7 linked regions of the Kluyveromyces lactis genome follow. The protein of the gene in region 1 interacts with the protein of each later gene in a pairwise test. Links are inferred from orthologs where the notes say so. Each region holds a gene or a part of one and is shown in the gene's direction. Other genes may lie near its edges. The genes, in order: SLA1, PER33, EDE1, VRP1, KLLA0_A09757g, GTS1 and RRP7.

Region 1 (5,490 bases):
GCTAGTACGGAGCATGGGATATCATACCCATATTTATAACGAAACTCACTAGCTTCGGCTTTACATCTCAATGCAATATTTCTGGCATCTGGAACCGGTCCTGTGGCACAGAACCCGATATGTCTTGCCACTGGGAAAATATAGCTAACCGTCTTAGGATCTAAAAGCTTATCTGGGACTTTCTTCTGGCTAATTACCACAGAGGCGGTCTTGGACCTGATGGCTATTGAGTTTAGATTAGGTTGATTGGCCGCTTTGAAGGCATACTCGACTTGGTAAAGACGACCTTCTGGAGAGAAAATAGTAATGTGACGATCGTAACCTGCAGCAGACATAGGATATGTGGTTATAGGGATTCCCAATTGACGATTGAGATTCAGTAGTTACAGGAAGATCAATGAGTTGCCAGGTTCTTCGTATATCTTGGTAAAGGTAACTGTAGTGCGTTGATGTGTTTGCCACCAAAATTATTTAAAAGTTGAAATTAGAGTTAAAATTGAAATGAAATATTAAGGAAGGGGAAGACAACTGAGATAATGCAATCAATAAGAAAAAAAACAGCAACATCAAAAAACACAAGCAAAGCATCCGTGTTACGGTTTTGCGCTACCAAGTCTCAGAATGAGTCCCAGTCTTCTAGATCTAGAGACGCAACTAGCGTTCTACAAAGCTTATCATAACAATACTGGGAATGTGTTAATTCATAGCATTTTTGTCCCAACGATTCTCTTTACATCCATGCGTATATTGAACGACGTTAAGATCTGGAATGGCTATACCTTGACTCATTTGTTAGCGTTGTCATTTGGGTTGTTCTATATACTGTTACGAGTAGGTACCGGAATCCTTGCGTCGTTGATATTGGCACTGACGTGCAAATTTTTGAACGACGGGACTATTAAGATGACACAGACCACTGCCTGGATATTATTTGTGATCAGTTGGATCTTCCAGTTCATTGGCCACGGTGTTTTCGAGAAGCGCAAACCTGCGCTTCTCGATAACTTGGTGCAAAGTCTTGTGCTAGCGCCATACTTCATCCTTTACGAATTACTATTTATTTTAGGGTTCATGCCTGAACTTAAGAAGAATCTACAAGCTCGTGTTGACAAAGAGCTAGATCGTATGAGAGCGAGTAAATAAACTTAACCTCCGTTCGCCTAAACAGTATATATGCTCTATTTATGACTTCTATGATGATGACAATAACGATACTTGAACCCATGATGGAATTGAAACATCAATCACGTGATATAGAAATGATCTCTTTTTTTTCTTCTTTCTATCAGATCTCTGCGATTCGCAGTCACATGACTAGAACTGGGCAAGAACCCCTTTTTATTTCCAGATCCGGGATCACCGTATCATCATGTACGAAACACAACCCCGGGTAACCAAAGGATCACAGAAAAACAATTCGAAAACTGCAGGTTCTTGTACCACACTGCCAGGAACCGGTGCTGCGTGCTGTCGGTATTTTCATTTGTTCTTTTTCTGAGTGAAAATGAGAGAATCAGAAAATGAGAAAAGATTAGGCCCAAAATAATTGAATAAGTCTATCAATATACTTAGAACATATATAAATATATATATGTCTATACATATATAAGTAATTCGTATAAACAAGTTTTAGCTTGAATTGGGTTAGAAAGGCCAGACAAACTCTTGAGGTTTAGATAGAGTGCGCGAGTTGCATTGCAATTGTGCAAAAGAGAAAAAAAAAAACCAATCAAAACGGAGAAATAAAAGGAAATAGCATAATACCGAAAAGAGACGACAAAAAGGAAGTGTCTCGTATTCCTGCATTCTTTTAGTTTTTGATTTCAATTTAGTTTGGATAATTAAATTTGATTGGCGATTTGTATAGGGATCCTCTTGGCCTTGTATACAATCTGGAAGCTTATAGGTCCTTTTACTTGGCTCCTGACGCATTTAAATACCTACAATGACGGTGTTTTTGGGTGTTTACCAGGCGCTTTACGATTATTCTGCGCAAACAGATGAGGAACTAACTGTCAAAGAGGGTGATCTATTGTATCTTTTAGAAAAATCTAGCATTGATGATTGGTGGACCGTTAAGAAGAGAGTTATCGGATCTGATCAGGATGAACCCGTAGGTTTGGTCCCCAAGACATATATTGAAGAGGCTCCAGTGATTGGGAGTGTAGTTGCGCTTTACGATTATGAACAAGTTCAGAATGCCAATGAGGAATTGGTATTCCATGAAAACGATACGTTCCAATTGTATGACGATAGGGATGCAGATTGGTTCTTGGTGAAGAATACCAAGAATTCAGAGGTTGGGTTTGTGCCAGGTAATTACGTGGAAAAACAATCGCAGCAAGCTGGAGGTCCCGCTGCAGGAGTTACACAGTCTAAGCACCAAGCCCCAGCTGTTCTACCCCTTTCTGAACTTCCAGCTCCACCTCAGAGGTTGGACAGAGTCAATTCTCAACCATCATTCAGAAGCGGATCTACCCCTGCTGGCGCTGCAAGTACAGCAGATGCTCCAGGAGCTCCATCTACATCGACACCACCACCAGCATCAAATGCAGGCGTTGCGTCTCATACAACTATGCCAGTTGATGTTTCACTGCTCCCTCCACCTCCAAAGAGAAACGATACGGCAACCACAGAAGTCCAGCGTGAGTCAGCAGTAGCAGAACCTCCAGCAATGCCTCAAAGACCTTCTAATACTGAACACCAAACAAGTTATCGTGATGACCCAAGAGACAATAATAGAACTTCCCAAATAACTAGAGATTATTCAGATGATGAGCGTGATTACGATTTCGATGACGATGAGGAAGATCAACCTCCACTGCCATCTAGAAATGGAAGACCTTCAGCCTCGACCGCTGAACATGTTTGGTCTGTTAGTGAGGTTGATGGTCGTAAGAAATGTAAAGCTACGTTGACTGTTTCTGCTGAACGTATTCATTTCTTCTCTGCAAAGACAAAAGTGGATCAAGAATGGGCAGTTAAAGATTTGATCAACTATAACAATGAAAAAAAGCATCTATTTCTTGAATTTAAAAACCCTTACATTAACTTGGAATTGCATACTGGCTCTAACGATCTGGCTAACGAGATCATGGGCGTCTTGGGTGAGATTAAAGGTGCCCAGACAGCAGTTGGGTTACGTGAAGTTGAAGCTGCTTCAAGGCCTGCCATGACCAAGAAAAGAGCTAAAGCTGTATATGACTTTTTCGCTAACTCTCCTGATGAACTCACCGTTAAAGAAGGCGACTACATTAATATCTTAGATGACAGGACTTCGAAAGACTGGTATATGTGTGAATCTGTAGAAACAGGTAAAAGAGGCATTGTCCCCGCACAATTTGTCGAAACACGCGGATCAGGCTCATCAAGGCCTTCTGATGAAAGCCCTTCTAGGAGTAAGTCTAAGACCAGATCCAGATCTAACACTTCTAACTTTACTCAAAATTTAGTTGGCAGCTGGAAAGAGGATGCTGATCAAGATGTATCGAAGAAAAAGTCTAAAACTTCGAGCTTTTTCTCCAAGAAGAAGAAAACTGATGATAAAGAGTTCCCTGATCCTAAAAAGGTTAGAATTTGGGTAGACAGAAGTGGTACTTTCAAAGTTGAAGCACAGTTTTTGGGCTGTGTCGATGGGAAGGTTAACTTACATAAGGTGAACGGTGTGAAAATTGCTGTTGCTGCAGACAAATTGTCCGAAGATGATATTTTGTATGTGGAAAGATTGACGGGTATGTCTATGGAGAAATTCAAACATAAACCCAAGAGTTCAAATAATGACAGTAGTGCAGTAAACGCAGAACGTGAAAGAAGAAGAAAGGCTAAGGAGCGTGAACGGGAACTTGAAGAAAGAGAACGTGATAGACAATTAAGAGAGCAAGAACTTAAAGAGTTAAAGAGGGCTAGAGATCTCTTGGAAAGCGAAAGAGAAAAGCTGAGGAGTGCACAAGACAAAGAACTGCCACCTGTGAAACCACCAAGACCAGGCAGTGAAGCAAGCAAAACGCACCCTGTCACAAAGAGCTCCAAGAATCCCGAATACGATTGGTTCGAATTTTTCTTGAATGCTGGTGTTGATGTCAACAATTGTCAACGCTACACCATTAATTTCGAAAGAGAGCAAATTAGTGAAGAAATCTTGCCAGATATCGAGCCTTCTTTATTAAGAAACTTAGGTCTACGTGAAGGTGACATTTTAAGAGTAATGAAGTATCTAGATAACAAGTTTGGCAGAACAAAGGAGGCTTCTCCATCAACTGGATTGTTTACTGAAGCCGATGGATCCTTGAAGGTTAACCATACAGGTGCTCCCGCATCTGCAGGCGTATCTCATAATCTATTACCAGATAGTAATTCATCGAATAGAGATGATGATGCATGGACTGTTAGACCTGCTGCTAAAGCCAGCGACAGCTCCAACAAGGCTCAGGATTTCTCTGGGTCACTTCAAGATTTGCTTGATTTGCAACCTTTAGAGCCGAAGAAGAAAGAAACACCAGCTCCAGATGTCAAGCATCTAGAATCTGTCACCACTAACGGTTCGAATAAAAAGGAAGAAACCCCTCTGTCAGCAAATAAGACGGGTACTTCTTTGGTTCCATTAGATCCATTCAAAACTGGTGGTAATAATCTAATCCCTATTACTACAGGGGGATTCATTATGATGCCAGTAGCAACAGGCGGTTTAATGCCATTCCAACCGACTGGGGGGCTAGTACCTCTGCAAAGGACTGGAGGTATGATTGCACCTCAAACAACGTTTGGTATGCAACCAACAGGTACTGTCTTGCCAGTTCAAAAGACTGCGAACGGTTTGATACCAGCGAACACTGGAGGGTTGATGCCACAAACGACGTTTGGTGTACAACCCCAAACAGCATTCCCCGCTACAACCTTTGGTTCAAGTATCACAGGAGGCGCAATGCCTTTACAAAGGACTGGTGGTGCCTTACCTCCTACTTCCTTCAACACGCAAATGCCCGGTGCAATGCCATTGCAATCAACTAACACATTTGGTAATCAATTAACTGGAGGTGCTAATTTGCTGCCTTCCACCACTTTTGGAAACCAATTTACTGGAGGTGCTAATCTACAACCTGCTACCACTTTCGGAAACCAATTCACAGGAGGTGCGAATATACAGCCGGCTACTACCTTTGGGAACCAATTCACAGGTGGAGCGAACATCCAGCCAAACTTCAATTCTGGGAATCTATTTACCGGCAATCAAATGAACATACAACCCCAGACAACGTTTGGTAATCAATTTACAGGTGGTATCAATTTGCAAAACCAACCAAGCCTCGGAAATCAACTTACTGGCGGCGCTCTTCTTCAACAATCTCAGCTCTCCTTCGGCAATCAATTAACTGGTGGTGCTAATGTTCAACAACCGTTCAATAGCAACCTACCACAAACTTCATTTGGTTTATCTCAAACTACGACTGGTGGATTCCAGCCACAATCGTCATTTGGTATCAATTTACAAAG
Region 2 (3,858 bases), on another chromosome or scaffold:
CCCATACCAGAACCGGTACCACCACCAAGGGAATGGGCGATTTGGAAACCTTGCAAAGAGTCACAACCTTCAGCTTCACGTCTGACAACGTCCATGACAGAATCCACCAATTCAGCACCCTCAGTGTAATGACCTTTAGCCCACACGTTACCTGCTGAAGATTGACCGAAAATGTAGTTATCTGGTCTGAACAAAGTACCAATCTTAGAGTTACGTACAGCATCAATGGTACCAGGTTCCAAATCAATGTTAACGGATCTTGGAACCCATTTACCAGAAGAGGCTTCGTTAAAGTAAACGTTCAATCTAGCCTTTTGAATATCATCGATACCGTGATAGTTACCTTCAAAATCCAAACCGTGTTCACCACAAATAGTTTCCCAAAACGCAGCACCAATTTGGTTACCACATTGACCTGTGGACAAATGAATGATCTCTCTCATGTTTTAGAATATCTCTGAGCGCGTTATTGATCTGATCTCAAAAAATGACAATTGAAGAAACACAGCACAGGCAAATTGTAGAAAGACTTGGTGTTGATACAATCGAGGGGTATCTATAATCCAGTAATTGTTGATCCTTGTTCTTTCAAGAAAAAAAAATAATTATGCGATCTCTCTGTCCTTTACAAGAAAAAAGTGAAATATAATATGGGTAAAAATAGTAGTCTTGTCCACAGTATATTAAACAAACAAACTAACAAATCGAAATAGACGAGTTCTCACAGCTGTTATCTATAAAGTTATCTCTAACCCGTGCAAGCCTGTTCACAATCACGTCTGTGTTCACTTATTTAACCACTTTAAATTGTTTATTTATTTGTTTTTATTTGTTTATTTTTTTCCTCCTTCTCTTTCCTCATATCTTTGTTTGTATTTTGATCTTTGTTTCACTTCTTTAGGCAATTTTCGAGCACGTCTATTTCCCTTTGTGGGTTGCTAAGTGTGCGGGTAATACGGGAAACGGAAACTTACATCGCGTGATTTGCACGTGACTGTGATGTGTGAATTCCTGCGTAGTGTCAGTTCATCTAAAGACAAGAGTTGAGGTTGCAAGTGAGCAACACATTCCCCTAAGATTTAGAATAGTTGTCGAAGTGTTCCATGAGTCCAAAGACTGAACAGACTATTTTCTCGGATCATTTTCTTCACAGCTGACTTTCCGTATATGATAGAATCATACGGAAACTGGAATACTGCAATTTTCCCTAACTTTCGATTCTAGCTGACATTTAAAGACGATGTGAAAATTTAAAGAGAAACGGATTTCAGGATTAGGAAATTTAAAGAGGGAAAAAACGTCCAGTACAGTTTGTTAAGAGAAGGAAACCTATTAGTTGGAGAAGCGAAAGAGGGTTTGACTAGTTGGAATTGATCTGTCCAGTGCTACATTTTTATGTATATAGTAATCGGAAGGTTACTTTGATTAAGCTACGGTATTCTATTTCGAACCGAATCGAATCGGATCAGGTTAGCAGGTCTCTTTTTTTTTTTTTTTTCTTATATTTTTGGCTATCAATTGATTAACTGATTGTGTATTGAAGACGAAAGCTGTTTACATATTTAGCTTTTCAAGGTGTTTTTGTCATCGTTGATTGTGAACTCTTAACTTAGCGGCTCAATAGCAGTTGATTATCTCGTCTCCAAAAGAACTTTCGTGAGTTAGTTACTAAGGTTTCATTTTAAAGGTTTTCTTTTCAAGAAGATGTCTGAGGGAAGTGGCAATGGCAGTGGTAATCGTTATTCCAATGCTGCCGGTCAAAATGGAGGCAACAGGCCTGCTCAGAGACCTGTAGCCCCTCTGAGTGCTGTGTTCCGTACGAAGTTGAAACAGCCTCAGTTCTATTGGTTCCTTGGTCACACGTTATGCTTATACTATTATATCCAATATATGCTCTCATTCCGAGAACAAAGTGTAAAGACAAATTACAGGAAGATCATGCTATACACAGTGATCAGTTATGGGATTGTGCTTCACCAATATGTGAAATCAAAACAGTTAAGATTCCAGTGGTCGAATTTAAAACAGCAGATCAGACAGTTGGATAACCTACAATATTTTACACTTTCCATTGTTCTTTTGATATGTTCTCTATCAGGAGGGAAAACTTTAACTCAAACTGAATCATCTATGGTTATATACTCTTTGTTCCATGCATTGAATTATTTCAAAGAGAATGTATTGCCATTCATTCCAATGAACCCCATGTTAAAAGGTTCATTGTCAAATAAAATCTCGTATTTCATCACCAATTTCAACGGGTCTTTCTTCCATGCTGCAGTGATGTCAGAACTTGTAACGATGTGCAAAGTGTGTCTCATGCTGCCCATACAGTTAATCTCTGTGCTTATCACATTCAATGCCAAGAGTTTATTCACACTTCTATCAATCTGGGCATACGCTATATTCTTTAAGTTAAGATACAATCAAAGTGAACAAATGAGGTTGCTATGTAACCAGAACCAAATGATGATTGAAAACTTCATCTCAACTCGTTTGCCTATGTTCATGGACAAATGGTTAGGCATTAAACATTTGGCTAAAGTCTTCTTTGATAGAATCCTTGCTTGAAAACGCTAGAACCAGTTAGAAACTCGAAACTTAAGTTCATTCATAGAGTCTTCCTGCAAGTTAGTCAGTAGAGCATCTAGATATACACATGCATACATATATATGTATCTTAACTTAGAAAAAACTCATCCAAGCAAAGATTCTTGCATTCGCATCTTACATCCTGTGAGATTTTGTAGAGTTTCACATCTCCCCTAAAGATTACTACGAATCATTCCTATCAGTTACCTGAACTTTGTAATGTCTTCATCCATTTCATTACTTGTCCGAAATAGTTCAGTGTAGTGTAACAGGTTCATTACTGATCTATATCAACAACACTGTGTATTTCTGTGTCACGTGATGGTAATCTTTTGTGGAATCTTTTCCGTTCAGGAGAACAAAATTCAAACAGTGAAACCTGGACCGAAATACATTCTATTAAGCAACAATAGCATAGTTTCAGTTATTCCAAATGCGGTTTGATAAGACGCTTGCTTTTTTTCTGGTTACTGTTGCATATTTACTGAAAGCTTAACTAAAGGATAGACTTTTATTTTGGGGTTGTTATCATATTTTATCTTATACTTCCTTTACTCATTTTCTTTAACGGAGAGATATTAACAACGAGGGATACAGAAAGGTGTGTTTAAAATAGAGAAATATTGTAAACTTACAACGCAGTCCATCCAATCACAACTTACAAAAGGAGCCCATATTTTTTAACAAACAGTCGAATCGTATCAGTCGCTATAAACTACAAGCAAACAAAGAAAAAATGAATACCGAATACGATTATTTGTTCAAATTATTGTTGATTGGTGATTCCGGTGTTGGTAAATCTTGTTTATTGTTAAGATTTGCCGATGATACCTATACCAACGACTATATATCCACCATCGGTGTTGATTTCAAGATCAAGACTGTTGAGTTAGATGGCAAAACTGTTAAGCTACAAATTTGGGATACTGCCGGTCAGGAAAGATTCAGAACTATTACATCTTCTTACTACCGTGGTGCCCACGGTATAATTATCGTTTACGATGTAACAGACCAAGAATCCTTCAACAACGTCAAGACATGGTTGCAAGAAATCGACCGTTTCGGTACAGCTGGTGTGTTGAAGTTACTAGTTGGTAACAAGAACGATTTGACAGATAAGAAGGTGGTTGACACCGAAGTTGCTAAAGAGTTCGCAGATTCTATTGGAATTCCATTCATCGAAACCAGTGCACTAGATTCTTCTAACGTTGAGGAGGCCTTCTTGATCATGACCAAGCAAATCAAGGAAAGTGTCGCCAAACAACA
Region 3 (5,239 bases), on another chromosome or scaffold:
AAGGATTTCACTTAAGAACGGCAGGAATTTTAACACTTAAGTACGGAAGTTCTAAAGATACTATAGTTACATACCTGAATACAAAATAGATCAACGACATCTTTACTATAATATTAAAGGCTAAGGTGTCTAATAAGGTACAGTCTATATAATATCATTAATTATTCTTGGCAAGCTTGTGCTCAATGCACTGACAGGCAAAACTACCAACGGCACATAGAAACAGATCATTAGTAGTCACGTGTATTTATGCGGGTAACACTGTTCACACTGGCTCATCTCTGAACCTTTGATCAAAAAAATTTACGATTTTCAAACCAAATTCAATATCATCATATTCTGGTGAAGTAAGCTTGAATTTGGATCTAATGAGAGTTACTCTTAGATTGAATAGGTTCTGGTTGTATTGTGTGTGTCCTTGTGTGGTCCTTGTGTACACTGGCATCTATTCAACGGAAATTGTACAGTATGTTGAGAGCAGGAAGGTTTAGTCTGAGTCACGTCCATGCTAACGTTTTGGCAAGAAGTCCACTTGTACATGCTGCCAGTATACCGACCATGCAAACCAGATTCCAAAGTCAATCTGTGAATAATAATGCGTCTACAGGGGAGAAATTAGCTAGCCTTAGCGACGAACAGGTTGATGAATGGTTGAAAGTTATTGGATCGTTAGAAGAAGAGTTTTCGCAACAAGATTATAACCCAGCTACGTCCCTTGCACCAGGTAACCAATCTAGAATTAATATCTTGGAGAAGGCTATGGAATTGAACAAGCCCAGCTTTGAGCCAAGTCAAGAGCAAATAAATGAATGGGAAACGTTGAAGCAAGTTCCCATTCCAAAAAAACAGGATCCAGTTTTACAGCATGTAACGAATATGATTATGAGACACGGGAAAAGAGAAAGAGCTGAGAAGATTCTTTCAAGAGCGTTATATATTGTGTTCTGTCAAACAAGGAAAGACCCGGTAAAAGTTTTGAAAGAATCCTTGGATGTGTTGGCGCCTCTTATGGTTATCAAGACCTTCAAGACTGGTGTCGCAAAGGCCACTGTGGTTCCAGTTCCATTGAATCAAAGACAAAGGTTTAGATTAGCTTGGAAATGGATTGTGGAAAGTTCTGTGAAGAGATCATCGAGCGATTTCTCAGTAAGACTTGGTGAAGAATTGGTATCTGTCTTCAACGGTAATAGTTCAGGTTTCGAAAAGAGAGACTCTATTCATAAGACTGCTATTGCACACAGAGCTTACATTAACCTAAAATGATCAAAGTTCCAACCTCCACTGTATTTACTTGAATAAACCTGTACATATGTATACGTGAAATATAAATGAACGTTATCGATTTTCATAGTTATGCTGAATTTGTTGCTCTATCTTATATGCAATTCCTAGGCCCAGCAGACTTCCCGAAAAATTGGCCAAAATATCGTTTACATCAAAGGACCTTTTTCCTCGTGAGAGGAACTGTTGTGCAAATTCACTGCTCGTACTGGCACATACGCAGCATACAATAAATGCCAATAGATATTTGTTCATGGAAAAAGGTTCGTACGCAGCCAAATTCCTTGATCGTAGTCTTTTGGGGATGAATGCCGGCAACTGTACGGTATCACATTCAAACATCATGGTAAACAGAACGGTTTCAATGCAAAATACTATGCAATGGGCGAGCTTATCATGAGTTGATGTTATTAGCTTTAACCTGGCATCAGTAGTTAATCCGAGGAAGACAACAAAACATACACTCGAGAAAAATGTTACTGCGTATTTATATCTTATCATTTATCAATTTTCATAAAAACTCTCAATAAGAGTTGCATACACTCTACACAATTTCTAAATGAAGTGATAAACTCAACTCTCTCATCGCATTGGAAACCTTAATCCTACATCAATGCTTCACTTCTTTATGCGATCCGAAAGTCATCTTGCACGATTATATAGTTTCATCATCTTTTTGAGATAATTGAATAACGACAAATTGGATCAAATGGTCGAAACCCCTTTCGTGAAATATAGCCGATAAACTGCAACAGATACACATCCACCACGCCTCTGGGAACCATGTCAGGTATTGCGTTCCGTGTACCCCTCACTAGTGAGGAAAAGCAAGCATTTTCCCAGCACTTTTCTCGGTTAGATAGAGAACAATTGGGAATTGTGACTGGAGAAGCTTTAAGACCTTTGTTTAGTCAATCAGGGTTAACTCCGCAACAGTTGTCGCAAATATGGACCATTTGCGATACCGAAAACGCGGGCTTCTTAACTGTTGATCAATTTAACGCCGCTCTAAGAATGGTTGCGCACTTACAGGAAAATCCAGGTGCGCAAGTTACTTTAGAATTGTATCAGACTCCTGCTTCGAAGCTCCCTTCATTCGGACAAAGTCAAAAGTTCAACTCTGCTTCTACACAACCATCTATCCCACCACCATCAAATCAGTCTCATTCTGTCCAGAGAGTCCCCTCTGTTATCAATAGATCGGTGAGCAGAACTAATACGGGTTCGTCGCCAACTTATTCCGTCATTCCTGTATGCACTCCTCATGATTATGCCAAGTTTGCCCAATTATTTGACAGATCAACGGAAGAAAGCGGTTTCCTAGCTGGTAATAAAGCAAGAGAAATCTTCCTTAAAGCAAAGTTACCAACTCAAACTCTAGGTACTATTTGGGGGTTGTGTGACAGGAGCAATAGCGGAAGCTTGGATAAAGTGGAGTTTGTTATGGCGATGCATTTGATTCAGCTAACACTACAGCAAAACGCAGCCGTTCAAAACTTACCTTCTACTTTGCCAAATTATTTGTGGAATTCTTTGAATAGTACAGCATCTTCTACTCTGACTCCACTGAGCGCCAATAACACAGGCTTCTCTTTCACATCTGGCAGTGGATCTGTTGTCAGAAATCCGGGAATTATCAGAAAACCTTCTTTGTCCAGACTTCCATCCGGTACTTTTTCTAATGCTGCAACAGATTGGACCTTGACTCTTGAAAAAAAGCAGCAGTTTGACGCTATTTTCGATTCTTTGGATAAAGAGAAAAAGGGTTCCTTAGGTTCTAACGTCTTAGTTCCATTTTTTTTGACATCGAAATTGGGACAGGATGTCTTAGCAACTGTGTGGGATCTTGCTGATATTCATAACAGTCCAGTTTTCACTAAGGTTGAATTTGCGATTGCAATGTTTTTAATTCAGAAGAAGAATGCCGGGATCGAATTGCCAGATGTTGTTCCTGATCAATTATTAAATTCGCCAGCTTTAGGTTTGTACCATCAACAACAACAACAACAACAACAACAGCGCATTAGTGTAGCAAGCACCGGAGATGCTGGTCAAAATTACCAAAATTTTGCAGCTCCGGTTCAAGCTCAGAAAACCAGTAATAGCGCTCTGGATGACTTGCTTGGTCTAAATGAATCATTCACTCCTCCGCCTCCATCTCTTCCTTCCCAGCCACAATCATCGGCTCAGCCTTCAACACATTTGGCACCAAATGCTAGGAAATTTAGACCTTCATCTACATTTGGACAAACCATTATCCCTGAAGAAGGTGGTAACGACCAGCAACAACAACAACAGCAGCAGCAGCAGCAGCAGCAGTATATGCAAACTGCTCCTACACACGTAGGCTCTGCAGCTCCTCCTCCACCACCCACTGCACGTAATTCTTCGTTACCAAGTGTTCCAAACTTTGGAGGTGTTTCTGTCCCTTCGAGGGAAGTCACTTCTAACAATCGTGAAATTGTGCCACCGGCATCGCTTTCTCAGGCCACTACTGAACTTGCAAATCTCTCCACTCAGGTGAGTTCATTAACGACACAAGCTACGAAAGTTCATGAAGAGAAAACAGCTGCTCAGAATGAACTTACTCGTATAACTAACATGAAGGCATCGATCGAGACTAAACTCATTGGTTTGCGTGCGTCTTACAATGAAGAAGTTCGTCAAACGGAGGAGATACAGACGCAATTGAACGCTCTTCGTGCACAAAACGAAGAGTTAAGTCAACAAGCTTCTGTTGCAGAGGCAAATTATCATGCTGTGCAGACTCAGAACGAGGATTTGCAAACACAGTTGCAACAAGCTCAAGAAGAGGAAAGGCAGTTAAAGGAGAGGTTGGCCCAGTTTAACACTTTGTCCTCTCAGTTACAGCAACAGTTGGCTGAAGTTCAAGAGAATGCTAAAGCTGAAAGATCCAGAGTCGATATTCATGCCAAGCAGTTAGAACTTTCAGAGATGACTGCCAACAATCTTCAAACAGAAATTCAAAGTCTTGAACAAACCCTTGGTATCTACTTATCAAAGCACAAAGAATTGGATGACTACAAAGCTACTATTGAGGCTCAGCACGCTGAGATGGAAAACAAACATAAGCAATACCTTGCAACTTCTGAAGAAGTACATGCACGTGAATTGGAAGTTCAATCCAGAACAGCAGAGATAGAAAAGCAGGAACAACTATACCGTGATCAAGTATCGAGGTTGCAAGAACTATTTAATGATTTGAATAAAAGGAAGTCGGAGTTTGAAGCAGCAAATGCAGAGTTTGAGAAGCAACAGTATGACTATGCCGATAGAGTCCAAAAATTCTCTGAGAATCAAATGAAGTTAGCCATGGGAGAAACCCCTGATGATGAGTATACAAACGAATTGATTCAAAAAAGACTGCAAATTCAGACTGCCCAGCCAGCTGAGGAGGAGGAAAAACCAGAAAGTGTTTTCGACAAAGATGTTCCAACTCCTGTCTCACAAACTGAACCTGACGAAGAACAAAATCAACAATTAGAAGATGATCAATTAAGCGAGCAGCAATTACATGACCAGCAGGGTAATGATGAAGTTGCTGCCGAAGCGATGGCAGATTCTTTCGAAGGAAGTTTAAACGAATACGGCATCCCTAGAACAGAATCTGTCACATCGTCGACAGCCAACAATCCACCTCAATCAGTTAGAGACGAAGTCGAGAGTGAGCCAAAGGAAAACGCTGTCCTAGACATTGATCAACAGCTGGAAGATGCTGAAAACAATGATATTACTAAACAAGGGAGTGAAACTGTACAACCAGCTTCTACTGATGAACCATTACCAGGTGGATGGTCTACTGGTTCTACGTTAGAAAAGGATCAAATATCAGATTCCGATGCTGACTCGATCAAGAAGACACCAATTTTAGAGACACAAGATAAAGTGTCAGATGCCCAGGGCGCTGAAATCGATATTCCTGCCATCCAAGATCTCA
Region 4 (4,824 bases), on another chromosome or scaffold:
GTCAACGATTCCTCAAACCCATGACACAAATCCATGGACCTGTTCCAGAATATAAGCAAAAATTACAGACGCAAATGAATAAATTCTTCCAAACTCACAAACCCGGAAAATTAGTGATGAGGATAAACTTCTCGTTCCAAACACATTCCAAACTGTTTGTCACAGATGATAATAAGGGTACAGAGGAAGAGGAAATTCGTCCGAAAACTTTAGAAGAGATGCATGGAGGTCATGATTTGCATTACAGATCTGAAAGACAATGTCTAATCAAATTAGAAAACTCAAAATCAATGTGTTTTTCTATCAAGACGTATCTATGGAACTTGCAAGATGAGTTCTTAGCAAACGATTACTATTCACAGGAAGGTGTTATTCAGGATTTATGTGACGCAGTGAAAGGAATGCAAGATTCAATTGGACAATACAAGCGTAAACCCGAGTGGGGGCCAGCATTGCTTGAAATGCTTGAATCAGCATTACATAGAAAGTTGTAAATAACTTTAACGAACAATATTGACAGATACTCTTAAATTAACGAGTGTTGTTAATAGAGCTTGAGTCGAATGTGAATGCAGTGACGAAAAAATAAAAAAGCTTCTCCGCGACGGGGAATTGAACCCCGATCTCGCACGCGACAAGCGCGAATTCTAACCATTAAACTATCGCGGAATAGATATTTTTATGAAAGATTGAGAAGACATTCCCTCACAAGTCTGGAATACGAAACCATGTGCAAGAAGTTCATTTCCGAGACTAAATTATAAGGCTTTTTGGGTAACCAAGGTTCGAATCACAAAATACCATACGATTTAGAGATGTGCCCCAGTTTCCTGGGTAAAGGACGCTATTTATGCATCCAAAACCATTCGTGAAAATTCGTGATGATGTTTTTTAGCATTCAACAGAGGAAAATCCACAGAAACGAGGGAAACACACAGCAAGAAGCTGTGAATTTATCTTCAATTTGGGCATCGCTTTGAATCCATGCACCACTGAAAGAAAAACTGCGCACGGATCTTCGAAGATGCCACTTAAAATCTATATACTATGAGGACGGATTCCATTAGCTAAGTTAAAAGAACGACGACAGAAAATGCATTACTTCGCGTTAGGACACCTGTCACTAACAAAACAAAGAATTGACAACGTATTACATCTTGCTGTGGAATATATTAGCTCAATTTTTAATCCAATCCCCGATGGTGGTGGTACTAGCTATAGATAGTGTACATGATATATAGATTTCAGTACCTTCTTCACATAGTAAGTTGTTAAGATGCTTGATCGCCTTTGAAAACTTTTTTAAGACAAGGTCCAATACCAAAATGTTACCCGAATATATTATATTGGTAAATTATTCGTATAGGGCTGGTAACTGGGAATGGCACTCCACTAAAACGATGTTCCTCATTTAGTTACTACATGCCGATGCTACCGCGAAATCATGAAGAGGTCCAGTGAACTTCGTACTGTAGTAGTATCATAGAATCGTCTTGCATTGCCGTATTCTTCTTGATTATTGATTTAGCACCGAACTGAAAGTGTAGTGTCTGGGTGGAAAGTGTAGTGTCCGGGTATCCTTGAGGCTTCCAGATATCAATTAGCTATTTAAAAATGAAAGAAACGTCAAATCAGAGAGAAACAAACTGTTGCAGTGCATAGGGGTCCACTGCGTTTAAGGTAGTTATTCGAAAAGAATCATAGCGATACCAATTGACCAGTGTGTTTCCGCTAAAAGTTCTATAAGACTTAAGGATTTGAGCATACTTTGTTATAGATAACTTGCTGAACATAGAAATTAGAATAATATGGCTGGTCCACCTCCACCACCAGCACCTCCTCCGCCTATGTTTGGCGGAAATTCATCCAATGCTGGCTCCGCTGCAACTCCTGTCCCACCCCCAGCGGCTGTTCCAGGACGTGATGCCTTATTGAGTGATATTAGGAAAGGTGCAAAACTTAAGAAAGCACACACTGTGGATAAGAGTGCACCTGCGATTGGAGGATCAAGTTCGATGAGCCACTCTGTATCAGTATCGAGCTCAGCAGTCCCGCCTGTAGCACCATCGATCCCGACTCCAACTCAGCTTCCCGGTGTCCCTCAATTGGGAGATATACTTGCTGGTGGGATCCCTAAATTAAAACATGTTTCGGGTTCCTCTAAATCACCAGCTATTCCATCTGGAGCTCCTCCGCTTCCGGATAGCTCTTCAATCCCAAAAATTCCTTCTAATAGACCACAGCGTAAAAAGACTTTGAGAAGTGAGGGTGATTCGTCAGTGGCGGCTCCTCCTGCTCCTCCTCCAATGGCAGCACCGGCAATTCCAACAAGTCCGCCACCAGTACCCATGATGAACACACCACCGGTTCCGAAACATCCTCCAGCAAGACAACGCACAGAAGCACCTCCGGTTCAAGCACAACCTGCTCCGCCTGTAACGTTACCACCTGCACCTCCAGCTCCTCCTATAGCCGTGCCACCAGCTCCGGCACCTCCAGTACCTCTAGCACCTCCCACAATTAGCACCCCTCCTGCGGCCCCACCAGCACCTCCTACGCCTGCACCTCCTACATCTGCACCTCCAGCTCCAGCACCTCCAGCACCTCCCATAATCAGTACCCCTCCTGCAGCCCCACCTGCACCTCCAAGCATATCATTCCCAACGTCCACGCCGCAACCACCACCATCTGCACCGTCCCCAGCTGGAGGACTTCCATTCCTGGCGGAGATTCAACGAAAGAGAGATGACAGATTCGTAGTTGAAGGAACAGGACATGGTGCGTCGAATAATACAGCATCTTCCGCTCCAAAGGTACCGCTTCCCTCATCATCTGCTCCTCCGGCTCCTCCTTCGTTCAGTGCTCCTTCGGTTCCACCAACTCCAGCTCCTGCTGCTCCACCTTCAATTGCTGCTCCTCCGGCCCCACCGGCTCCTGCACCTCCTGCACCTCCTGCCCCTCCTGCCCCTCCGGCCCCACCTACTCCTTCCTTTAATGCACCTACGCTGCCTCAATCTACCCCAAGTTCTGAAGCACCATCTATTCCAGCCGGAGGATTACCATTTCTGGCATCAATACAAAGCAGAAGGGATGATTCTCACATTATCGAAAGTGAGAATAGTCATACACCAGTGGGTGCGCCAACGGCTCCTCCTTCCCCTCCTCCACAAGCCGCTTCATTTCCCTCTGCCAAAGCTCCACCACCTCCACCCGCAGCCTCAGAGGAATCTCTTCAACAAAATCAGCAACCTCAAGTGGAACGCACAAATAGTTCCTCATCAAAAGGTTTCTTCAAACACAGACTTTTTTCATCTGGTAATGAAGCCAGTCGACCATCTCAATCTACTAACCCTTACACAAATGCTGCTGAAATAGATGTCGGAGATTTCACAATAGAAGGAAGTCAAGATACGACCGGAATAAAGCTGAATAACAGTGGAATAACCATTGATGATTCAAAATTCGATTGGTCTAACAGAAACGATCTCCCCAAACCGAGACAATTCTTGGGCTTAAGAAAACTATATCCAAGTGGCAGAGGTTCAAGTGTTCCATTAGATTTTACTGTATTTACATGACTTTATAATGAGTAAGAACTATATAAGATATTAATGAAAGCATTCCTAGACGAGTGGAAGAGGAAGAAGTATAACACTTAATCCCACCCATCTACCCACCTTTTCTTCCACAAATCGCAGTTGAATTTCTCCTTTCCCAATTTCTCATTAACTTCATTATGTGCCGCACAAATCCATCTACCTAAGTCGTCTTTTGAATCAACCTTGGGTGCGTTCTCTTTTATAAATAGTTCAAAGTCCTTAGCACACCACCCGCATGGATAAACATGAGAGAATATGGTCATAAATTGTTTCATTTCTTGTTTCTGTGTGTCCGATGGCTTATTCGGATACTTGGCAGCTATCGTATGTAACAAAGTCCAAGAAGAACGGCCTAGCTCTTCGACATCAGCAGGCCCAGACTTAGAGTATGTCTTAGATCCAGGAATCAACAGTGGCTGGTCAGCTGAAGTATTTGAAATATCTGTCGCGGCCCCAGCTGCTAATTCACCGGAGCCAGGAGACTGAGTGGAATCCGCCACTGGTGAAGCAGAAGAATTGCCGCTTCCCCGAGCCTTCAAAGTGCCGGTCACAAATTGAAAGTCCAACAAAGTATTGCATGAACGACAGCTAGATTGATAGTACATAAACGTTAGTAAAAGTTTTCTGAAATTCGATTATTTCGTTTCTCGATATTAGGGTTGCAAAATACGAACGGTTTTCCATCTTCATCGTAGATGATTTTTCTTCCAGACAGTCCAAATTCTGGTGTTTTAGAAGTTTCAGTACGGCTTGACATGATTCATGCAGGTTGGTTGGAAAGATTTGGTCGTATGCTTGCATCTTTATGAATTCTATTCTCTAAATTTGTAAGCATTCGAGAGATGCATTGAAATCGAAATCTTTAAATTCAGATCAAATTTATGAAGCGATGAGATAGAAGATAACATTGGATGATAACAAAGAAAAATTTCAGTACATGTATGAGATTACAGCTATAACCCTTCTTGAAAATGTATGACTCTATTTACAAACTGAAGTGGATGATACCACAAATATACCAGGTATATTACTTACTTGATGAGATAAGAGTAAGTATATAACTATTCTTTCTTATGAATCAATCTAATGCAGCTCTAGAAAATGTTGCACCAGCGTCGATTTTGAGATTTTTCAAGAAGTCTTCATTTGTTAGGGGCCTCATTTTGAGGCGACTTAGATTGTCTGTCTTTCCAGTTTCTGTCAGCTTGCGTTTCTCTTTGATATA
Region 5 (3,645 bases), about 410 kb from region 1:
TCTTTGTCGGTCTAGTGAAGAATTTGAGAGTCTTGTGTGGGCCTATCATCAGCAGCACGCCGAGTAGGAACAAGATGTTCCCAACAGCCAATAGTGCTCTATCGAAGAAGGTGAAGATACCAAAAAGGAAGAACAAACATCCACCGAACGTGAACACAGCACCGAATTCTGGGGAGATAAGTGGGATTTCAAGATTTTGGCAAGTACTGTAACAAAAGTGAGATAGAAAGACGGATTGAACAATCCGTCTTTCTATTTCCCTTATGTTCGCATGAGTTTACTGGCCGATCTCAAATAACAAATGTTAGTAAAGGGAAACCAAAAATAATAGTAAACGCATACATGGTTTAACATACGCTGTGACTCCGATAGCCAACTACTCATTGTTATGTGCTATTGTTGCGTGTATATCAAATACTATGAGCATATATAGAGAGGCAAACAGTGCCTATCTTGATGCGTTAATGTGCACATATTTACTGCGCTCGTCCAGAAGCCCATCGCTTTTCGCGATTGGGCTTCTGGACTGAAAAGACGTGAAGTGTTACCCGGTCATTGTGTTTTCCGGGTAACGAAAATCGTTCGAGGCTTTGAATCAGCAAATTTACCGGCCGTTGCTATTAAGTCCAATGGTTTATACCCTTGAAGCCACCATTACTATACACCATTTAGGGTTCCTTTTTCCACCTTAGAGCCGTGGATTTGCATGTTATTGCGTGGATATGATGGTTCACTCATCTGCTAGACGAGTCATGGATATATAAGACACGCATAAGCCAGATGTCTAACTAGATGCATGGAAGAAAGGTTGGAAGGAGCCGTTGGCTGTTAGGCACGTGACCCAACATTCTATAATGGCAGCGTCAGTTAAACAATCAGGTATTCTTCCGTCGTATGACGAAGCAGTCGGACAAGGTTCGTCTACCGGTGCTTCTCGGCATCAAGAGGCATCAAATGATGAACCAAATGATGAACCAAATGACGAATCAAATGATGCGTCCAATGATATACCAAATAATGCCACCAATTCCACCACTACCAGTAGCTGCAATACCGGTACTGATATCGACCAGCTTCCCTGGACGTATCCTCCATGGTATTACTGTAGAAGGTGCGGGAACACCGGTGTAGAGACCAGGACGCAACGCAGGTGTAGAACATGTTGGTCAAGATTCAATAGAAGGCAGTTTCCAGCAAGACGTGGTCTTATACTCACAGTTGTGCTCTTAGGTGTAGCTGTAGTAAAGCATTTGGGTAAACATGTCAGCAATGCCAGCCATGCCAGCCATGCCGCCCATGCAACGGATTAGGAAGAGATTCTACATAACATGTACACCCAGGTAAATAATTTAATTTATATTAGCATTGCAACGCCCATAGTCAGATACTCCTAACCATATGAAGTTGCTTGTCTCTCTCAGGTGTCTGTTGATTGATGACAGATTCCTTTGTCAGTAGTATGAGATCGCCAGAGCAGAGATATGAGTTTGTTACCCGGATATTTGTATATATGGTCCGGGTAACATGAACTGATCAAGGCTTTGACTTTGATGCCCATTAGAACCATTAGTAGGAGCATTGGCAAGAGTGGACCCTTGTCTGTAAGTCCGCAGTTACTCACTGGCTGCATCCAGTAGTTATCAATGGCTAAAAGCCCAGTTTAGGATCGGGATTCGTCCACATTGCAGCCGTCGTGCTATAGGGTTTCCTCATTTTAGGTGCATCTGCCAAATAAATCACGTATATATAAAAGATCAAGATATATAAGGGACATATATTTAGTCAAAGAAAAGTGTATGGAGAACGGGATCGGGATCAGTAAAGAACAGAGATCAGAGAACCAGTCACTTTGAGAATACTTCAATGAAATCAGAATCAGATATACAGCCAGATGAGCATCTTCCGTCGTATGATGAAGTGCTGAGACAAGATACTGCTGCTGCTTCGCAGCAGCAGCAGCAGCTCCCACCAAACCCTCCACCACGTCCAACACAACCACCAGCAAGACCGCCCCGGCCAAGCAATGCCATACCAGCGTACCATCATTCCACTAGTACCTTTTCAAGCAGTACCAGTACCAGTACTGGCAATAAGAAACTACCCTGGACGTACCCTCCAGGATATTATTGTAAAAAATGCGGGAACACTGGCACCAAGATCAAGACTCAACAAAAATGTAAGAAATGTTGGTCGAAATTCTACAAACCCCCACCTGCACAACCACCACGTCCAAGTGCAGGGCCAAGACCTGCGTTCGTATACTCTAATGTCACGATGCCACCACAGAATTTCGTCATAAACTCAGCACCTATCGTTGTGCGTCCCGGTGACAGTCGCATAGGAGGCATGATGTGTAACAATTGCAATGGGACTGGTAGGGTACGATTCTTCTTGGATAAAGAACCGTGTCCCGTATGCTACGGTCTTGGCAGGATTCTTACTGGACCAACCTACTAGTTTGATCATCTGATTCGCCCAAACTCTACACTGTTTAAGTAAAATTGTACATAATTAATTTCTATTCATTTCATGTTTGTCCATTAACAACATTCAATAGCAGGGTACTGGCTGAGGTAGCACATGATAGAGTAACTAGTCATGTCTAATTGCTGCTTCTCATGGTACGGTGTTTCCACAGTTTTACTTTTTTTCCTTGTATGACAAAAAGTGAAAAATTTCGATGAGTTCGAGTTATAGGAAACAAGAGGTATAAAGCGTACCATATGCATTTGTTCCATTGTAAAGTTTTCGATTTTGGGTTGGCTCTTTCAAGCTTTAACTGATTGGATAATTCAGTGAAAGTTTGTCGTTTTGTGTGTTAGTTTGTGCGTACGTGTCTCCTTCTGTCGGCTTCTCTCAACAAGTCCCGTTGTCTGACCAGTATCACATATTTATAGGGTCTTTCTTTTGCATGGATTAGTAACCCATATCAGGTAACCCATACAGCTAGCTATATTCAATAATGGAAAACAAACATATCTCGCACGTCTCTCAGATTGAAAGACGTGCTACTCCTTTGAACATTCGTCCAGCTTCGCCTTATACCTTAAATCCTACTGTGGAAAAAGACGGTTTATCATGGCCTAGTATTGGTGCTCGTGAAAGAGCAGAGGAAACGGATGAAGAAGAACAAAAACGGGTTGGTCGTATTGCAGATGCGGTTAAGACTATTTTGAGTGAGCTCGGTGAGGATACCGAACGTGAGGGTTTACTGGATACCCCTACACGGTACGCTAAAGCGATGTTGTATTTCACTAAAGGCTATCAGGATAATATCATGAACGATGTGATTAAGAATGCTGTGTTCGAGGAAGATCATGACGAGATGGTTATTGTTCGTGACATTGAGATCTTCTCTTTGTGCGAGCATCATTTGGTGCCATTTTTCGGTAAAGTTCATATTGGATACATTCCTAATAAGAAGGTGTTGGGTTTATCGAAATTGGCTCGTTTAGCAGAGATGTACGCTAGACGTTTCCAAGTACAAGAACGTTTAACGAAGCAAATTGCTATGGCTTTGAGTGATATCTTGAAACCTAGAGGTGTCGCTGTGGTCATCGAGGCTACTCATATGTGTATGGTGTCTCGTGGTGTCCAAAAAACTGGTTCTTCCACTGTCACTTCTTGTATGTTGGGATACTTGCG
Region 6 (4,356 bases), on another chromosome or scaffold:
TAAGAAAGCGGAATCGTTATCATTGGCAAAAGTCATCTCGAGCAAGGATTCGATTTCAACGATAATAAAGAAACAACAAGGTGTGCCAAAGACAAGGGGACGGAAACCTTCGCCAATACTGGATGCTTCAAAACCATTCGGCTGTGAATACTGCGATCGTCGATTCAAAAGACAAGAGCATTTGAAAAGGCATATCAGGTCTTTGCATATCTGTGAGAAACCGTACGGTTGTCATCTTTGTGGGAAAAAATTCAGCAGAAGTGACAACTTAAGTCAACATTTGAAAACACATACACACGAGGACAAGTGACATTCTTCTTAATAGCGCTTATTTAGACTTTTCTGCCTTAACTTTAAACGATTTTTCACGCAGTATTTTGCGACATGATATGACCTCAAATAATGAAGAAAAAAAGTTCTAACGAGACTATTTATGATATGATATTGGGATTTCAGCATCTAAATGACATTCAAACTTCCTACTACACCTGACACTGATATCATATTTATCCCACCAACATTTTATGCCCTATACTATAATAATCAACTAAAATCACAAAAAAAAACTATAATTCTGAATATCAATCAGCTTATCAAGCAGTATATGAACATCGTATATGTATATATAGTATCCAATGTATCAACCCTGCTTACCTCTCGTTACTAAAGGTGACCCAACTTTTCAAGTATTGTTTCAAATTGATTGAATTCATTAGGAAGCTCCAACTCAACTTTCAAATCAGACATTTGAACACAATACGTAGATGAGATATGCCCAGTGATGCAATCAATGTTATCTGCAAGACCTACAGCAAAACTTGCCTTTTCAAACAAATTATGTTTCTCCTGTTTGATGCGCTGTGGAGTCCAGTTATTTTTGGATAATTCTTCATATTTGGAGTTCAATTCACGAATTGTCTTTTGAACCTCTTTCAATTTACTTAGCTGTGCACTTCTTTTCCAGCCGCGTCTATTCTTCAACGTATCACTCCTCTGGCCTTGAATTTCCTTCTGATACAATTCCTGACACCGAGCAATTTCACTTTTCTCATGCTCTATTCTTTTCTCTATGTTACTGGCGTCGCTATTCAACTTATTTTGCATCTGATTTTTGAAAGACCAATACACGTTAATGTTCCCACACTTTTCCACACTGATCAATCCATCTTCATCAATCATCTTTTGTACTAATACCTTCACTAACATGGAAGATATGCCACATTTCTTGGGGATATATTTCTCTAATTCCTTCATGTTGTATACGGTATGTTCTTCTTGGAAAAACCTTAGGATACGTGCTTTTTTCTCGGCAAGCGAAACGGTATTCTTACCTGGGGCCATGTTGAATTATTTGAACCTTTTAATAGACTTAATTGAAGCTGATGTCTTTGATGTGATGATGGTTCTTCTTCTGTTTGTTTTTAACCGCTGAACCTTGATAAAAATATATAAAAGAAGACGAAATGTCATTTTCCATGGGGAAATTTATAAACAGTAACATATTTTGGTGAAAGAAGTATCAGAATCGAGAGTAATTGAATCAATTCAGAGATGCCATATTAATAGCCATGGTTGCTTATAATTGGGGAGGCGGTTAGCTGCTATATACGAAACATTAAAATAGATCCTATTCTCCGGCTAAATGACAGACCACGTGAGAATAAACTCTCCTGAGGCAATATGATAGTACATAGCTTAAGCCTGTCTATCACGTCATTATTCAAAAGGTATCCAAGATGGTATATCGTACTGACTGCTTCCAATAGACTTACGTTTGTTGAACAAAAATAGCTCTTGAAATATTCTATGCGGTTGAAATTCCGAACAGGAACAGAAGTTCTATGAATGAACGAAGCATAAAATGGTGAAAGTGAAGAACGGATATTGAAAATAAAAAAAAATACTTCATATTATAAGATTATAAAGACCCAACGCTAGAATTACGTTTATATCAAATAGGGGTCCCAAATTGGACTAGTCGAGTTTAGGTAAGGTTTATTGAGGAGATACTGAAGCGAGGAAACCAAAAATGAGACGATCAAGAGGTGAATCTGTAGAACATGATTTAAAGTTTTTGCTTAACGCTGGTGAGAATTCAAATAAATGTGGTGAATGTGGGACACCATTCCCTACCTACTGTTCAGTGAACTTGGGTGTATTCTTGTGCGGTCGGTGTGCTTCCGTACATAGGAAAGTGTTAGGCAGCAGAGAAGATGGTGCTACTAGTATCGTGAAATCTTTATCTCTTGATAGATGGTCTAAGCGTGACGTTCAAACTGTTGCCGATCTTGGAGGAAACAAACATAACAGCAGTTTTTGGAACCCTAAGAAAGAACCTTTCCCATTTGACGGTGACGAGGATCGTACTGCCGTTGAAATGTTTATCAGGGATAAATATTTAAAGGGTAAGTTCAGACATACCGCTGTCAAGGTGGAAGATTTCAATCTAGAGGATGATTCGTCACAATTGGACTACAAGTCATCCCGCCCATCATCTGCGTCCGGGTCCAGAAGAAACCGTTCTGCCTCATCTGCCAGCAGTAGACCAAGATCAAGAGAAGGAGACAGACCTCCGCTTCCAAAAAGGCCGGACAACAAAGTGCAAGAAGCCGTTTTCGATGGAACAAGTGAACCAAGCCTACCTAGTACAGCATCGGCAGAACCTCGCCCAGCAGTATTCGATGGGGTACAACAATACTATGATCCAACTACCGGCCAAATTTATGTAGATCAAAACTCCTATGCGGCAATGCAGCAGGCCCAGGTACAAGCATTGGCACAACAAGTTCAACCTCAGTTTACACAACAGGTTCAACCTCAGTTTACACAACAAGTGCAACCCCAATTCACACAGCAATTACAACCTCAGTTCACCCAACAGGTACAGCCTCAATTCACTGCTCAACCATCGATAGATAAGAACACACTATTATCACTGTATCAAAGACCAGATTTATATTCTAGTGCCGTAGAAATCAAACCGGATAATCCACAATACCAACAGATCCTGAATCTCCAAAAACAACAGCAGGACCAACAACAGCAGCAACAGCAACTGCTACAACAACAGCAGCTACAACAGCAGCAACAGCAACAGCTCCTGCAGCAACAACAGTTACAACAAATGCAATACCAACAACCACAACAGTACCAACAACAATTCTACCCCCCATTCCAATAGATCATCATCCCTTGGCCTTCTTTGCAGCTGCAGCTGCAACTGCACATCTGCTACCGCACTACGGTTTAATCTCTCATACCTATGTTTGCCTATATAATACGTAAATATGGCTAAAACCAAAACACCGCTACAACTAATATCTAACTTTGTCTTCCTCCTCTGACGTTTCACAACGTCTGCTATACACTCTTATCCGGAACATCCACGATCTACTTACTACCTAGCTATCACCACTATTATCTTACTGACCATCAAAAAAAAAACCTCCCATTGACTCATAACCAATCATATCTTATTTGCACTTAACGAGCGTTTTCTTAAAACCGTTCCACCAAGCACCAGTGTCTTTCCACTGCCTTTACTGTGTACGTTTTCTGCGATATATCTGTCTTTCCTTCTTTGTTTCTTTATTTCTATATAAAGTTCAAAATGACTTATTACAAACTAAGTTTTGATCCTTAAAAACCATTTATAAGAAATAAGAACGCCCCCCCTTGTAAAGAAAGAGGCCAAAGAATGACAACGGTCTGGCACTGAGTAGTCATATGGAAAGCGGTTGAGCATGAGTTCAGAATCGCACGACAAAGTTGTGGCGAAAGCCATTCGTTTGCCGACAGAAAACTATTCCGTGGAGAAGGAGATCGGTAAGGGTTCATTCGCGGTTGTTTACAAAGGTCTATCGTTAAGAGATGGGAGAAACATAGCTATCAAGGCCGTGTCGAGGTCGAAGCTAAAGAACAAGAAGCTTTTGGAGAATTTGGAGGTCGAAATTGCCATTTTAAAGAAGATCAAACATCCGCATATTGTGGGGTTAATAGATTGTGAGCGGACTTCATCTGATTTCTATTTGATCATGGAATACTGTGCACTAGGTGATTTAACGTTTTTCATAAAGAAGAGGAAGAACCTAGTGCTCAAGCATCCTTTGATAAAGACTGTTTTTGAACATTACCCGCCACCAAGTACGGAACATAATGGATTAAATCGGGTTCTTGTGGTAAACTATTTACAACAACTATCCTCTGCGCTTAAGTTTTTGCGATCTAAGAATCTAGTACACAGAGATATCAAGCCACAGAATTTATTGTTATGCACACCGTTATTAGATTATAATGATCCGAAGACGTTTCATGAGTTGGGGTTTGTGGGAATCTACAATTTACCCATCTTGAAAA
Region 7 (3,840 bases), on another chromosome or scaffold:
CAGTTTTGGAGGCACCTTATCCAGAAGAATACCTTGATGGATTGACTGATGAACTAAGAGATGCTTTGGACCTGTCTATTGAAAATGTAAAAAAGTTCCACGCTGCTCAAATGCAAAGTGAAACCCTAGATGTCGAAACTCAACCAGGTGTTGTCTGCTCTAGGTTCCCTAGACCTATCGAAAAGGTTGGTCTATACATTCCGGGTGGTACAGCAATCTTACCAAGTACTGCGCTTATGTTAGGTGTACCGGCCCAGGTTGCTGGATGTAAAGAAATTGTTTTCGCATCACCTCCAAGAAAGTCTGACGGTAGAGTTTCTCCTGAAGTTGTTTATGTTGCAAGTAAAGTCGGTGCTTCAAAGATCGTATTAGCAGGTGGTGCACAAGCTATTGCTGCAATGGCCTACGGTACTGAATCCGTTCCTAAAGTGGACAAAATCTTAGGCCCTGGTAACCAGTTTGTTACCGCAGCAAAAATGTATGTTCAAAACGACACTCAAGCTTTATGTTCTATCGATATGCCAGCTGGTCCAAGTGAAGTCTTGGTCATTTGTGATGAAGAAGCTGATGTTGACTTTGTTGCATCGGATTTGCTATCACAGGCTGAGCATGGTATTGACTCTCAAGTTATTTTGGTAGGTGTCTCGTTATCTGACTCGAAGATTGAAGCTTTACAAAATGCTGTTCACGAACAAGCTATGCAGCTACCTAGAGTTGATATTGTTCGTAAATGTATCGCCCACAGCTCAATCATTCTATGTGATTCTTACGAAGAAGCCTTCAAGATGTCGAACCAATATGCTCCTGAACATTTGATTCTACAAATTTCAAATGCCGAAGACTATGTCAAAGATGTGGATCACGCCGGTTCCATTTTTGTTGGTGCTTATACTCCAGAATCATGTGGTGATTACTCTAGTGGTACGAATCATACATTACCTACCTATGGTTATGCTAGGCAGTACAGTGGTGTGAACACAGCCACTTTCCAGAAGTTTATCACTTCTCAAGTGGTCACCCCAGTCGGTTTAGAACATATTGGTCATGCTGTGATGAGTGTTGCTAAAGTCGAAGGCTTGGATGCTCACAGAAACGCAGTCAAGATCAGGATGTCAAAGTTGGGCTTACTACCATCAGGTTTTGAATAATATAGAACTAACTTATTAAGATTTGAATTTAATATCTAAAAGAAAAATAATGCTATGTTTGTATAGAAATGAATAAACTTTAACCATTCGAATTGTTTAGAAGCTTACTCCAGAAGCACGCGTTGAATGCATGAAACTTCCCCAGAGATTTGCATATTCAAAGTATCAAAATATTACTTCACGTGACTTCTAAATACAAAAACAATGGAAATCTTAATGAAAATGCTTGATACCGCATATCATCATCGCTAGAGTTGAATAAATTGATGATATAGAGCTGTGACTCCGCGTAACGTACCAGCAACCCATTAAACATGCAGGTTAACCATCTATTAAGGCAAGCTGTCAAACAGACCACTAGAGCGGGACGGCTAGGTTCGAGGAAACCTCACAAACCGCTCTTGCCTCCGTTACAATTGTACCGTAGAATCCTCAGAGAACACAGAAACTTACCAACGATGCAGAGAGAGTTGGGAGATCAATATGTCAAGAATGAATTCAAGTTGCATAAGAGTACTGACAATCCCTTATACATTGTTGGATTCTTAGCCTCATGGCAGGATTATCTGCATATGATTACAAGAGGTGAATGGGAAGAAGGAACTTTATCCACTGACCTGCTTGAAAAGATGTCACCAGAACAAGTTACCCAGTTGTACGAATTGATGAAAGAAGCTGAACAGCTGAAATCAGGTGGTGAATGATCTTCGGAAGGTTGTAAGACAGACATTTCCCAAATATTATATCTTTCCTCCAAATTCTCTCAAGTAGTGGGTGAGGAGAAGGGTTTATATACTCAACTTTTTGTTGCACGTGACTTCAAAAGACTTTCGTCTTATATTGAAAATTTTCTTCTCGACACTATTTAGTAGTTGTGTAATGAAAACTATGATTTAAAGTTAGTAAAGTGATGAGAAGAGATGAGCTGAAGAAATTCGCTTCAACAACTTTCAACGAATTTGTTTGGGTTATACACCGATCAAGATACCTCTCCACACACTTTCAATACGAAAGAATGGTTCTTGAACAGATGCAAAATGGCTTCCTAATTGTGCCGTTTTTACTACCTCAAGTAAAGAGTTTAAACCAGAAACCGACGAAAGTATATCATTATATGTTTGTGAGAAAGCATCAATCAAAACTGGAAAATGAACAACACTGCTTATTCCTAGTTAATCTACCTCTTTTAACACAACTCGAAAACTTGAAGAAAAATTTCCAAGAGATCTGTCATCAGAATGAAACCGTTTCGCATGTGCAAGATCTACTCTATCATGATGAGTTCGGATTACATGATGTTGACTTATCATCATTGACTTCTCATTTAATGAGTGTTGATGAACCTAGTGAGAAAAGATTTACGCCAAGAAATACTGCATTACTACAGTTTGTGGATAAGCAGTCCGTAGAAAACTGTTGGGAAGCACTAAGGAAATACTCTTCTAGCAAGAAGCAACAACAGATACTGTGGGAATTTCAATCCCCATCAATCGAGACATTCACAGCATTCTACCGTCCATTACCGTTAAAATATTTGAAAACGGATATACATGAACATATGGCTCTTTTCGAACAAAGAGAACAGCAAGCTCAAGAAGAAGTACAATCATCTATTGTTGATGAAGATGGTTTCACATTAGTAGTAGGAAAGAATACAAAATCATTAAACAGCATAAGGAAAAAGATATTCAACAGAAATCCATTATTAAAGCATGAGAAACCTAAGAAGATGCCTAATATGGTTGACAAGAAGGCAAAGAAGGACTTCTATAGATTCCAAGTCCGTGAAAGAAAGAAGCAGGAAATTAATGAGTTGCTAGCCAAATTCAAGCAAGATCAAGAAAAGATAAAGGAGATGAAGTCCAAAAGAAGGTTCAACCCGTACACATAATTATTTGAGAAAACTTTCCTGATAAGGTGCTCTATTTGTTATTTACTATAGTTGAGAATGTGTCTTTGTACAACATACGTAACTCTTATAGAAAGAGATAATTAATCTATCAATACAATTATTCGTTCATGAAAGCTCTAAAATGAAAGTTTATGGTTGCTTGCCAAGTGTTTTTTCCAGTTGATGAAGGAGGAGATAACAAACATTATAGCCTACCTCCCGGTGTTGCTGCCATTTCTCCCACTTCCTCAAAGTCACCTTTTTGTCTTAACATAATTGCAGGATGCAGGCCTTGTTGTTTTAAAGACTTGAAGATCTGTACTGGTTTTTCATCGAGATCAAGAACTCGTTCTTGATCTCCATAGCATATCACTAAAACATGCTGTCTCCAATCCGTTTCATTCAAATTGTGCCTCTTCATCGCATTTCTTAAAACCTTTTCACATGAATCCTCCTTTGAGGCACGTAATTGTTTCATAGGTTCTGAACTTGGAGCTGATGATACTCCAGCTCCGCCTGGAGTATTCGCCGATCCGGGTGTGGTGGCAATATGTGACGATGAAACATTTCTGGTGCTTGAAGATTGTGGTGGCAGCCCTGGATTGGAATTCGATCTGTATTTGGGTGATGATGGCGTGTGTGAAGAATGGTGTGGAGCTCTATCGAAGTAATCTTGCGAAGAAGGTTGATGTTGAAGTTGTTGAGAAGACTGAGAGGAACCTGAACCAGATCCACTGTTCCTCTTCACGATTTCCAACAAATCCAATCTGAGTTGCGCATAATTAGATTGGAATTCTTGTA

The links.
Region 2: the proteins of SLA1 (region 1) and PER33 interact in a two-hybrid assay, tested with the Saccharomyces cerevisiae proteins (2 studies listed by BioGRID). The link is inferred for Kluyveromyces lactis from reciprocal best matches to the Saccharomyces cerevisiae genes SLA1 and PER33.
Region 3: the proteins of SLA1 (region 1) and EDE1 interact in a two-hybrid assay, tested with the Saccharomyces cerevisiae proteins (2 studies listed by BioGRID, with this or other methods). The link is inferred for Kluyveromyces lactis from reciprocal best matches to the Saccharomyces cerevisiae genes SLA1 and EDE1.
Region 4: the proteins of SLA1 (region 1) and VRP1 interact in binary tests that used the Saccharomyces cerevisiae proteins (3 or more experiments, as listed by UniProt). The link is inferred for Kluyveromyces lactis from reciprocal best matches to the Saccharomyces cerevisiae genes SLA1 and VRP1.
Region 5: the proteins of SLA1 (region 1) and KLLA0_A09757g interact in a two-hybrid assay, tested with the Saccharomyces cerevisiae proteins (3 studies listed by BioGRID). The link is inferred for Kluyveromyces lactis from reciprocal best matches to the Saccharomyces cerevisiae genes SLA1 and HUA1.
Region 6: the proteins of SLA1 (region 1) and GTS1 interact in a two-hybrid assay, tested with the Saccharomyces cerevisiae proteins (2 studies listed by BioGRID, with this or other methods). The link is inferred for Kluyveromyces lactis from reciprocal best matches to the Saccharomyces cerevisiae genes SLA1 and GTS1.
Region 7: the proteins of SLA1 (region 1) and RRP7 interact in binary tests that used the Saccharomyces cerevisiae proteins (3 or more experiments, as listed by UniProt). The link is inferred for Kluyveromyces lactis from reciprocal best matches to the Saccharomyces cerevisiae genes SLA1 and RRP7.

The regions. Positions count from the first base shown.
Region 1 is NC_006037.1:445,243-450,732, reverse strand, and holds the start of SLA1 (cytoskeletal protein-binding protein SLA1), read left to right. Parts: upstream 1-1,945; coding exon 1,946-5,490. Other genes in the region: SCL1 (proteasome core particle subunit alpha 1), read right to left, coding at 1-335; 2-hydroxy-palmitic acid dioxygenase MPO1, read left to right, coding at 622-1,143. UniProt on the Saccharomyces cerevisiae protein: Component of the PAN1 actin cytoskeleton-regulatory complex required for the internalization of endosomes during actin-coupled endocytosis. The complex links the site of endocytosis to the cell membrane-associated actin cytoskeleton.
Region 2 is NC_006040.1:456,168-460,025, forward strand, and holds PER33 (Per33p), read left to right. Parts: upstream 1-1,704; coding exon 1,705-2,571; downstream 2,572-3,858. Other genes in the region: TUB2 (beta-tubulin), read right to left, coding at 1-443; Rab family GTPase YPT1, read left to right, coding at 3,329-3,858.
Region 3 is NC_006041.1:513,017-518,255, forward strand, and holds the start of EDE1 (Ede1p), read left to right. Parts: upstream 1-2,064; coding exon 2,065-5,239. Other genes in the region: RSM7 (mitochondrial 37S ribosomal protein uS7m), read left to right, coding at 469-1,263; KLLA0_E05765g (uncharacterized protein), read right to left, coding at 1,336-1,782. UniProt on the Saccharomyces cerevisiae protein: Functions at the internalization step of the clathrin-mediated endocytosis (CME) as an early-acting scaffold protein. Requires clathrin adapter proteins, ENT1/2 and YAP1801/2, for normal spatiotemporal dynamics and viability.
Region 4 is NC_006038.1:536,731-541,554, forward strand, and holds VRP1 (Vrp1p), read left to right. Parts: upstream 1-1,808; coding exon 1,809-3,578; downstream 3,579-4,824. Other genes in the region: KLLA0_B05995g (heme-dependent oxidative N-demethylase family protein), read left to right, coding at 1-494; ERV1 (flavin-linked sulfhydryl oxidase), read right to left, coding at 3,656-4,187, 4,274-4,356; protein-degrading AAA family ATPase MSP1, read right to left, coding at 4,678-4,824. UniProt on the Saccharomyces cerevisiae protein: Involved in cytoskeletal organization and cellular growth. May exert its effects on the cytoskeleton directly, or indirectly via proline-binding proteins (e.g. profilin) or proteins possessing SH3 domains.
Region 5 is NC_006037.1:854,218-857,862, reverse strand, and holds KLLA0_A09757g (uncharacterized protein), read left to right. Parts: upstream 1-1,863; coding exon 1,864-2,457; downstream 2,458-3,645. Other genes in the region: GOT1 (Got1p), read right to left, coding at 1-168, 357-384; KLLA0_A09779g (uncharacterized protein), read left to right, coding at 855-1,310; FOL2 (GTP cyclohydrolase I), read left to right, coding at 2,963-3,645. UniProt on the Saccharomyces cerevisiae protein: May be involved in assembly and disassembly of the actin cytoskeleton.
Region 6 is NC_006039.1:1,495,216-1,499,571, forward strand, and holds GTS1 (Gts1p), read left to right. Parts: upstream 1-2,029; coding exon 2,030-3,181; downstream 3,182-4,356. Other genes in the region: COM2 (Com2p), read left to right, coding at 1-310; MND1 (Mnd1p), read right to left, coding at 664-1,341; serine/threonine protein kinase ATG1, read left to right, coding at 3,744-4,356. UniProt on the Saccharomyces cerevisiae protein: Appears to modulate the timing of budding to obtain an appropriate cell size independent of the DNA replication cycle. Transcription factor involved in both heat resistance and flocculation.
Region 7 is NC_006039.1:106,104-109,943, reverse strand, and holds RRP7 (Rrp7p), read left to right. Parts: upstream 1-2,058; coding exon 2,059-3,039; downstream 3,040-3,840. Other genes in the region: HIS4 (trifunctional histidinol dehydrogenase/phosphoribosyl-AMP cyclohydrolase/phosphoribosyl-ATP diphosphatase), read left to right, coding at 1-1,148; SDH7 (Sdh7p), read left to right, coding at 1,463-1,852; STE50 (Ste50p), read right to left, coding at 3,245-3,840. UniProt on the Saccharomyces cerevisiae protein: Plays an important role in the synthesis of 18S rRNA but is not required for the 5.8S and 25S pathway. Is necessary for the cleavage at site A2. Is required for efficient association of RPS27 with the pre-ribosomal particle.